Linked DNA regions of Nothobranchius furzeri. The protein of the gene in region 2 purifies or fractionates together with the protein of the main gene of each other region. This does not show direct contact. Links are inferred from orthologs where the notes say so. Each region holds a gene or a part of one and is shown on either strand. Other genes may lie near its edges.

Evidence for each region.
Region 1: the proteins of c11h1orf35 (region 2) and RNA-binding protein with serine-rich domain 1 purify together in Homo sapiens (co-immunoprecipitation; 3 studies listed by BioGRID and IntAct, with this or other methods). This does not show direct contact. The link is inferred for Nothobranchius furzeri from reciprocal best matches to the Homo sapiens genes C1orf35 and RNPS1.

The regions. Positions count from the first base shown.
Region 1 is NC_091752.1:58,150,618-58,154,915, reverse strand, and holds RNA-binding protein with serine-rich domain 1, read right to left. Parts: upstream 3,075-4,298; 5' UTR 2,953-3,074; coding exon 2,951-2,952; intron 2,049-2,950; coding exon 1,899-2,048; intron 1,803-1,898; coding exon 1,623-1,802; intron 1,544-1,622; coding exon 1,438-1,543; intron 1,136-1,437; coding exon 982-1,135; intron 885-981; coding exon 743-884; intron 669-742; coding exon 563-668; 3' UTR 274-562; downstream 1-273. UniProt on the Homo sapiens protein: Part of pre- and post-splicing multiprotein mRNP complexes. Auxiliary component of the splicing-dependent multiprotein exon junction complex (EJC) deposited at splice junction on mRNAs.
Region 2 is NC_091751.1:49,802,744-49,807,262, forward strand, and holds the start of c11h1orf35 (multiple myeloma tumor-associated protein 2), read right to left. Parts: upstream 2,913-4,519; 5' UTR 2,848-2,912; coding exon 2,691-2,847; exon of another isoform or gene 2,672-2,690; intron 454-2,671; coding exon 303-453; intron 215-302; coding exon 169-214; intron 90-168; coding exon 7-89; intron 1-6.

The DNA.
Region 1 (4,298 bases), on a different chromosome or scaffold from region 2:
CATTGTGGCTTTCTAGTGTCCGTCTTTCTGAGAACGAACGCATCTCCTCATAGTGAACTGAACATGAAACATTTGTACTCGAGTGACAAAACCTTAGGTAAGATGTACAATTAGTGTCATAAATAAGAGATAGTCTCTCATAGTAATGAGATGCCATTGTAGTTTCTATGCAAGTTCACAAATAGAAAGATCGATGTAAAATATGAACTTTTATTTAACAGTAAGTCACCTTAGAGCTGCTGAGACAAGAAGTTTAACTTGAACATTCAGAAATTCTGTTTCTGCATCTTTATTTTTTAAAAGTTAAAAGGACGTAATACAAGGTAAAAGGAAACAAAATGTTTGTAGATCCCGGTAGAGGCAACATAAAACTAAGCTAACTTTTCTGAATCAACTTAGCACAAAATTTAAGAAAAAATCAAATGGAACAGAAGCACTCTTGCTATGACCACACATACAGCGTAGATGATGGCATTTCTACTGAGTCAAAGGAGTCTGAGAAAACGAGGGTTGTAGCTGATCAGCATCACAGCGTAGAAAACCACATGACATCTGAATGAGTTTATCTGGAGGAGTTGGAGCTGGAGCGAGAGCGATGGCGCCGGCGACCAGGAGACCTGGAGCGGGAACGGCGACGTGCCGGGGATCGTCTCCTTGGAGAACGAGACCTGAAACAACAAAAACGGCATTATTACCTGTACACGTGTGTGTGTTTATGGCTGAAACTGTCTGTAGGCGATACCTCCTCCTCATGCGTGGTGGGCTGCGCCGCCACATAGGAGGTGGTGGGGGCATTCTGCGAGGAGGAGACAGTCTGCGAGGTGGTAGACGGATCCGTTGAGGCAGAACAGCAGCGGCTGTGATTTCCTGTCCGTCAATCTGACCTGTTTTTATAATAGTCATAAAAAATAATCAACACACAGAAAAGACCCCCAGTGTTCCTGAGACCCAGAGGCTGTTAAATTGAACATGCACACCAACCTCCGTCCATGTGTTTAAGGGCCTTCTGTGCCTCCTCAGGGGTCTCAAACTCCACATAAGCATGGCCCTTGCTCAGGTGTGGGTGCATCCTATCCATCTGCATGTCAATCATTTTGATTTTTCCATAAGTGGAAAAGATCTCCTGGATGTGATCCTGGTACAACAGAAATAGAAAGGTCAGATATTCTCTCAACTTTGACACAAAATTATCTTGATGCCAAACAAATAAAACAAACTCTTTATTTTCTCCTTTTTGTTTTGAGCAGAGCATTGCTGATGACTAACACACCCGATGCACACAAGAAAATCTTCTCAGATTTTATCTTTAATTACTACACATTAAGGATGTGCGTGGCTGTTCTTGTGCACTTACATAACCTTGAGATTGCATCATAGTCTCAAATAAAAGCAGACATGATGAGAAAGAGAAAGCAGATGTTCTTCATTTAAGCTAACCTTGGTAACGTTTCTGGTCAGCCTTCCTAAGTGAACCTTAGTGGGTTTGACAATCGGGCTTCGTTTCCTTCGCTCTTTGTCCTCTCCTCTCTTCTGTGTTTTAGACCTGAAAAATCAGAAAGCAGTAAATAAATAACTAGAAACCAAAAGTCATCGTAAACACTGAGACACGAACAAAGACTTACGGTGATCGGGAGCGCCGGCGGTTGTCATGGCGCCTGCGGCTGGGGCTCGGCGAGCCAGAGGAGCTGGAGGAGGATGACGATCGAGAGCTGGACGATCCAGATCGACTGGTGCCAGAAGAGCTGGATCCACTCGAGGAACCTGAGCTAGAACCAGAGCTGCTGCTGGATGATGAGCTAGATCTGGATCCGGTCACAATCAGAACAAATGAAATGGTTTGTTAGGAATTTTTAGCACAGATTTCTCTAGTGATATAACAAATGAGAAGGAACTCAGACCTGCTGCTGCTGCTGCTTCCAGAAGAGGCACTACGACGTTTCCTTACTTTGTCCCGTCCTCTCTCTTTGTCTCCTTCCTTGGTGGCAGTCTTCTCTTTGCCCCTATCTTTAGATTTTTCTTCCTCCTTCCTTTTCGTAGGAGATGGTGCCCTAAAGTGATGTAAACATCTGTTAGTTTAGTTGTTTTACACAAATGGATTTAACAAATCTAAGAGCTACAAATTGTGGGAATGTTCAAATTCATGCAGAATTCAAATCTGGGTCTAATCTGTAATCTCAACAAGCTGAAAATGAAACCCAAAAAGTGTATTTTGTGTTTTCTGTCAGTTAAAATGAAACACAAAGCAACATTTTAACTGTTGTGTTTAATCTTTAATGCTAAGGAATATTTCTTTAGTGTGATGCACTACCATTACTGTGGAATTACCACAGAACGCTAAGTTGTTATTCCAGCTGTTAAAACAACAGACTAGTCAATAAACTTCTGTCTCTTTGTTTAGAATAATTAAACCCCAGTAGGTTTATTTCCTTTTGTGCAACAAAGATTTTTATAATTTTATTTTCTTGAACATTTATCAAAACTACACTGATGTCTCAATTTTAAAATAAATCCCTTAATGTAAAAGCAACTGATAAAAAAAACTAATAACGTTTTTCTCCTAATATTACACAACTTATCTGGCACCAAAAATTCAAGCCGTAAGCTAGCTGAAAGAGACTAAACACGATATACATGATTTATAACTGAAATAAATAAAAACAATCCACATCACACATAGTTTAGGGAGCACCAAATGTCTGCTGGAAATCGTAAACATTTGTTATGTTATTATAGGAAAAAGCAGCACTCAGGCAGAAATCCGCCGCCAACGAGTTTCATTCAGCCCGCTGCCTCTAAACAAGGAGAGCTCCGACCATGCCGTTAACCGATCACTCAGCTCTTCACGCAACAAGCACACGACGGTAAAACACGCCTGGGTTTTCAGAGTTGATTAACTAAGCATCACAACTAAAAACGGACAGTTTTAAGCCAGGAAAGAGCTCAAACCTACATTTTTTATGGACGATGTAGCTCTGCTTCCACCACTTGCGGCCTGTTCGCTTGTCGACGGTTGATGACGCCAGCGGAAGTTGCGTTCCTGCTTGAGCGCCACTTACAACTCATTTGTTTATTTTACGACGTTGACGGTGAAATATCAGCTTGCATTTCCGACATCTCTGTAGAAACACAGACGGACGCGCTTTTGGATATGAAATGAGTTTGTCAAGTTTGAAACGGTGGTGGGGCTTCGCTGTTGTTGACAGAGAGAGAGAGGTACATTAATGACAGATGTTGTTGACAGCTAGCTCAGCTAGCATCTGTTTTCCTGTAGATATGTGTCCAATGTTGACATGTAGATGCGGTTTGAGCTGTTGCGTTGCTGTAGCGCATTACGCGTTAGGACAGTGTTAACAGCTGTCTTTAAGAAGACACAGATCACAGCCATTGACGGACTGCATCAATAAATTCATATTAATCTGTTTTCATTGAGAATGGAAGTTTTGGGGCTTGGTTTGTGTTTTGAAACGTTCACCGTTTGGATTTCTTTTTTAAGGATTCCGGAGTAAAAAGGTGAAATGATCATGCATCATGCCTGTAATTTCACCATGGTTTAACCAGGATTTATTAAGTGAGCTCATATCCACATGCGTGAAACAGCCTCATGCTTGTTTTATAAAAGATTAATTATTTGGTCTCCTGATTACTGGAGTTGATTATTTGTACCTTTCAAATAACCATGTTTAACTGAGGCATTAATGGTCCATCTATTTTCAAGAAACTCCTGAAGACCCTGCTCTTCAGAGAACATCTTCTAAACTAGCACCCTCCCTGCACCCATCCCCTCTCTACTGTCCACTCCTTGTTCTCCATGATTCATCATGCTGCCTCACTGCCACCAACTGACTGGAAATTGTTTGTTGTTGTTACTGTTGTTGTTAGCCTCAAGGGCAACATGCTGATTATCACTTGTAAGTCACTTTGGAATCCAAAGTTTGGACTAAAGCGTCTGCAAAATACATAAACATCTATCTATTTAAATGGATGATTAAAAAATATTTAACCTGAGGTTTTGTTGCAGCCATGTGACTGGATGCTACATACGGTATGTTGATTATACATGTTCATTTCTGAATCAAGTGTGAGCTGAAAGTAGATTTTTATTTGCAGAAACATTATTTCATTTAAAAAAACTTCACTTTTCCTAAAATCTGGTTTCAATACCTGCACAGCCCTAAAACCTACATTTATGTCCCATTCACTTGTGCTTGAGATCATGAAGTAAAACGTGTGTGTAGATATGCTGATGAAGGTTCTCAGTCATCCAGGTCATGGTAACCCAAAGGGTTCAGATGAAGGCA
Region 2 (4,519 bases):
GATAACCTGGAGCTTCCCAAGCCAGAAATACGATCCACGTTCCTCTCCTCACCATCCACCTCATCCCTCCTACAGACCTCAACAAGGTCCTGAAAAAAATAAAATCAAAATGAATTCATTTTTAATCACGTTAAAATGTTTAAAGATGTTCTCCATTTTGTCACATACCTCTTTGGTAAGGCCAGTTGGTTGTCTCTTTATACTCTTGTGTCCTCTAGATGAGAATTTAAAACATAAATAAATATTTTTATGATCTGAACTTCATAGATACCAACATGTATTTGAAGAGGAGTTCCACGTACAAGGCAGCCATCATCGCCTCGTGTTCTGCTGCCTTCACAGAAGCAAGTTCATCTGCCTTGGACAAAGCTTTCCCAGTCTTTTTGTCTTTAGCGTACCATGTCAGATCTTTCCCCTTTTGCCACCGTCCTACTGGTGCCTTTAAAGAGTTTCCTGGAACAAAAGGAGAATGTGCGTACAAGGAAAAAAGACTAAATCTGCAATCCAGTTTCGCTTGCATTATACCAACGTTTCTAACTCTAACCCCTACTTCACACTGGAAGAATAAGCGGCACAGAACAGCACTGCTTCAAAATAGAATCCATTAAAGTCTATGGGGGTGATTCAAACCAGCCGTGCCGCTGAAGATCAGGTTCTATTTTTGCCGTGGACCGATTCTGGGACACGTCATTTACGAAGTTAACATAGGGCTAGACAGGCTAGACACGGTTTCAGTGTAAAATGCCCGGGTAATTTTCAAAATGAAAGACTATTGCAGCAATGTCATTTCCCATATATGTAGATTACGTCAACAAATGTGAACTAACAGCTTTTTTACTCCCAGCATCGTTCCAGAAGTGCAGCGGTGTGTTTTTCATGGGTTTAATCCTGGCAGTGGAGAGAAACAGCATCATCTATGACATCAAACATGATTTACTTCTTTTTGGATTAATAGCAGATGGTATAAACAAACCGTGATCTTTGAAGTAGGGCTCGACCGATATGCTTTTTTTGGGGCCAATACCGATATAAAACTTTTAACAAAGGCCGATAGCCGATATAATGGCTGATAAATGTCCCTCATTCTCTGCCTTTTTGATACAAACTTATTTCTCTGTTACACACCAAAGAACTGTCTCAATAACTCACTAGGGTTTCCAAGTAATGCAAATAAGATTTATTAAGCAGATCTCAAAAACAACAGAACACACAAACTCAGTCACAGCATAAATCATTTGTGTTCAAAGTAGTGGAGCCACACAACATGAGTTCATAAAGCTGGTGCCATCTGCTGGATCGGTAGCACAATATCGGCCATATCGGCCATCTTTTTGGCCGATAGCCTATAGTGTTAATGACCCCAATATCGGACGATAATATCGGCCGGGCGATATATCGGTCGGGCCTTGCTTTGAAGTCTTGAGGGATTTTGTGATCTTGCAAGTTAAAGAGACAATGTGTAGTTTTTATCATTAATCTCTGGAAATATCCATCAAAATGTTGAACATGAATTAAATGAGGCCCAGTTGTTGAAAAATATTGGCGGCTTCTTAACATAACCATAAAAATCTGGTCTAAAATACATGGAAGAGGATCAAAGTCTCACGGTGACGCCATACTAGATGCTGTGTTTCCTTCTACAGGAGCCCTTGAGGACAAAATACATTACTGATTTGTAACAACTGTTGCAAAACTTTCACCATTCATAAACGTTGTTTTACACATTTACCTCTTCACTTGTTGCCACTGATGAAAGGGAGCCTGATGTGCTGCATTTTACTGAAGTTTGCACTCCCCAGGGCTTTTTGACCCTAATGGGCATCCATTATTAAAGTCTTACTCCAACACAAAAATACAGCTTCCTTGCAACAATTTAGGTATCTACTGCCCCCTATCACCAGGAAAAATACACACTGTCACTTTAAGCGAGGCAGAGAAGCCGGTCCATGGCTGAGATTCTCCCAGTGTGTACTGGCACGCAGCGAAAGTAAACCGTTCCGCACTGCTGATGCCTCCAGTGTGAAATAGGGGTAACCTTTCATTTCTGCTCATACTGAACCAGGATCCTCTGGATGTTTCTTCCTCTTAAAAGGGAGTTTTCCTCTCCACTGTCGCTACATGCTTGCTTAGTATGAAGATTGCTGCAAAGACACTGACACAAGTCAGTGACTTGATGCAATCTGCTGGAAACTTTTTACTGACTGGCTTAATGAACTGAACTGTATTGGAATGTTAACTTTGTGAGACGAGTCTTCTCTTGATTTGGCACTATTTAATAACCTGAATTGAATTATTTACTGAATAAACTTAGGAGTGGCATAATGTTAAATATTAAACATTTCACTTGTAAACATTTATGCAGTCTTTGAAACACTTAAGATCTGGTCTGGTAGTCTTGTCTTCATGCATGACCATGAAAATCTTTTAAAGGTTCATATCTAATAAGGAAAAATGTGTGCAGCATCTCTTAGAGAAACTCCACATTTGTAGCTTAGCATCCATGAGTTCTTTATCAGACAATGTTAACATCAACAACTGTCAAGATGGACCTGAACCCCAAAACACAACATTCCAAACAGAAATGTGACTTTTGATCCCATTTGGGTCACATTTGCGCTGACTGCTACGTAGCTCGTGTCTGGCATGCTGACTAGCTAGTTGGCAGCGCTCAGGGGGAGCGGAGAGCCTACCTGCTTTCTGTTCAGGGTTCAGAGGTGGAAAAGAAAGTAGGGTCCTGCTGTGTGTAAAGTAGAAAGTAAGACGCCATAAAAACCATCCAAGATCTGTGTAATGAGGGACTCCAATACAAAAGGTATGGGAAGACGCCTGTGGGGCCAAAGTGTGCATTTTAACACGATTTGAACTATCTCGCTCAGTTGCTTGCTTGCTCGCCCACTCTGGCTAGCACTGATAGCGCAGCTAGACGCACGTACTTACCGAGATAATTTTCTCTGTGTTTATCGACTTTCACGTCATCCCAGTTAAACTGATCCTGGCCTCCTCGTAAGCCTCCGGATCTCGAAGAACCAAACATTTCTGCAGTTTGAGTCGAAGATTTGGGAGAAATGTTTCGCACCGTTAGCAGCTAACGTTAGCCGCAGGAGCTGCGCGATTAGGCAGGCCTTCAGCGTGCGCTCATCCGGGGAATTGTTTGGTGAGTTTTATGGCAAGCAACTGTAGCATATATTCAAACCAAACTTTTTTTTCTCTTTTCTTTAGAAATGCCTGCTTTTTTTCCTTTTAGGGGAATTTTGTTCTTATTAGTCAAACTATTCATTACAATTATCTGAAATACTTAGCTAAGTATTTGTATTTTAATGCCCCTTCAAAGGAAATTCTATACAGAGAAATGTGTTAAGGATCTCTGAAACTCAGTCCACACTGTAAATGATAAATGCCTATTTAATTTTTTTGATTACTCCTTTATTGTCATTATAATAATTGAAGGTAGTCCCACATACCAAGCCAACTTGCACCGCAAATAGGGTTACGTCATATCGATGTAGATAAACATGGTACATTTTGATAAAGACACATTTAAGGTGCAAAAACATAGCACAAGAAGGTAGCAAAGACAGATAAAGCATTTTCTAAAAATGCATTTCATAAAATTGTGCTAAATAAATGAAAGAAGATGCAAACTTTTTCATTTTGTCTCATCATATCATGTTCTCATTAGAAATCCTAATTTTAACTGCCATTTGTAAAAAAACTGTTGCTGCCCTTCTTTTCTCTTCATGTAATTTGGATTTAACTTGTCTTAATGGAAGTTTTTAATGTTTTTGTACATATTTAAATTTATTTTAGATATTTTAATAATCTCCAACGTTTACTTGAGTAGTACGCAGCCGAGTGCAGACAGGATGATAATCAGCTCTTCCAAATCTGAGACCATGGTTTTGAGTCAAAAAAGGGTAGAATGCCTTCTCCAGGTCAGGGACTAGGTCCTGCCTCAAGTGGAGATGTTTAGGTATATAAGGGTGTTGTACTAGTAATGCAGCCTGTTGTGGTGTAAAGAGAGAGATGAGCTGGAAGACTGGTCCATGTACATTCCGACCCTCATCTATAGTATGGTCACAAGCTTTGGGTATTGACCGAAGGAAAGAGGTTGCAGACACAAGTGGCCAAAATGACGTTTTCTCCACAGGATGTCCAGAATTTTCCTTAGAAATAGGGTGAGAAGCTCAGTCATCTGGGAGGGAATCAGAGTAGATCTGGTTAGGATGCCTCCTGAACTCTGGTGATGTTTTCCAGACACATCCAACAAGGAGGAGACTTAAAGGGAGACCCAGGACAGGCTGGGAGGACTGTTTCTCAGCTGTCCTGGGAACACCTTGGGATTCCCCCTGAGGAGCTGTCCCAAGTCATGTGGAAAAGGAAGTCTGGGCCTCTGCTCAGGCTGCGACCCAACCTCACATAAGTAGAGGGAAAAGGGATGGATGGATAGATATTATATATTTTAGATTTATATGTTTAACAGTGAACATATAATAAAAGTGTAGATGATGTTTAAAATGTG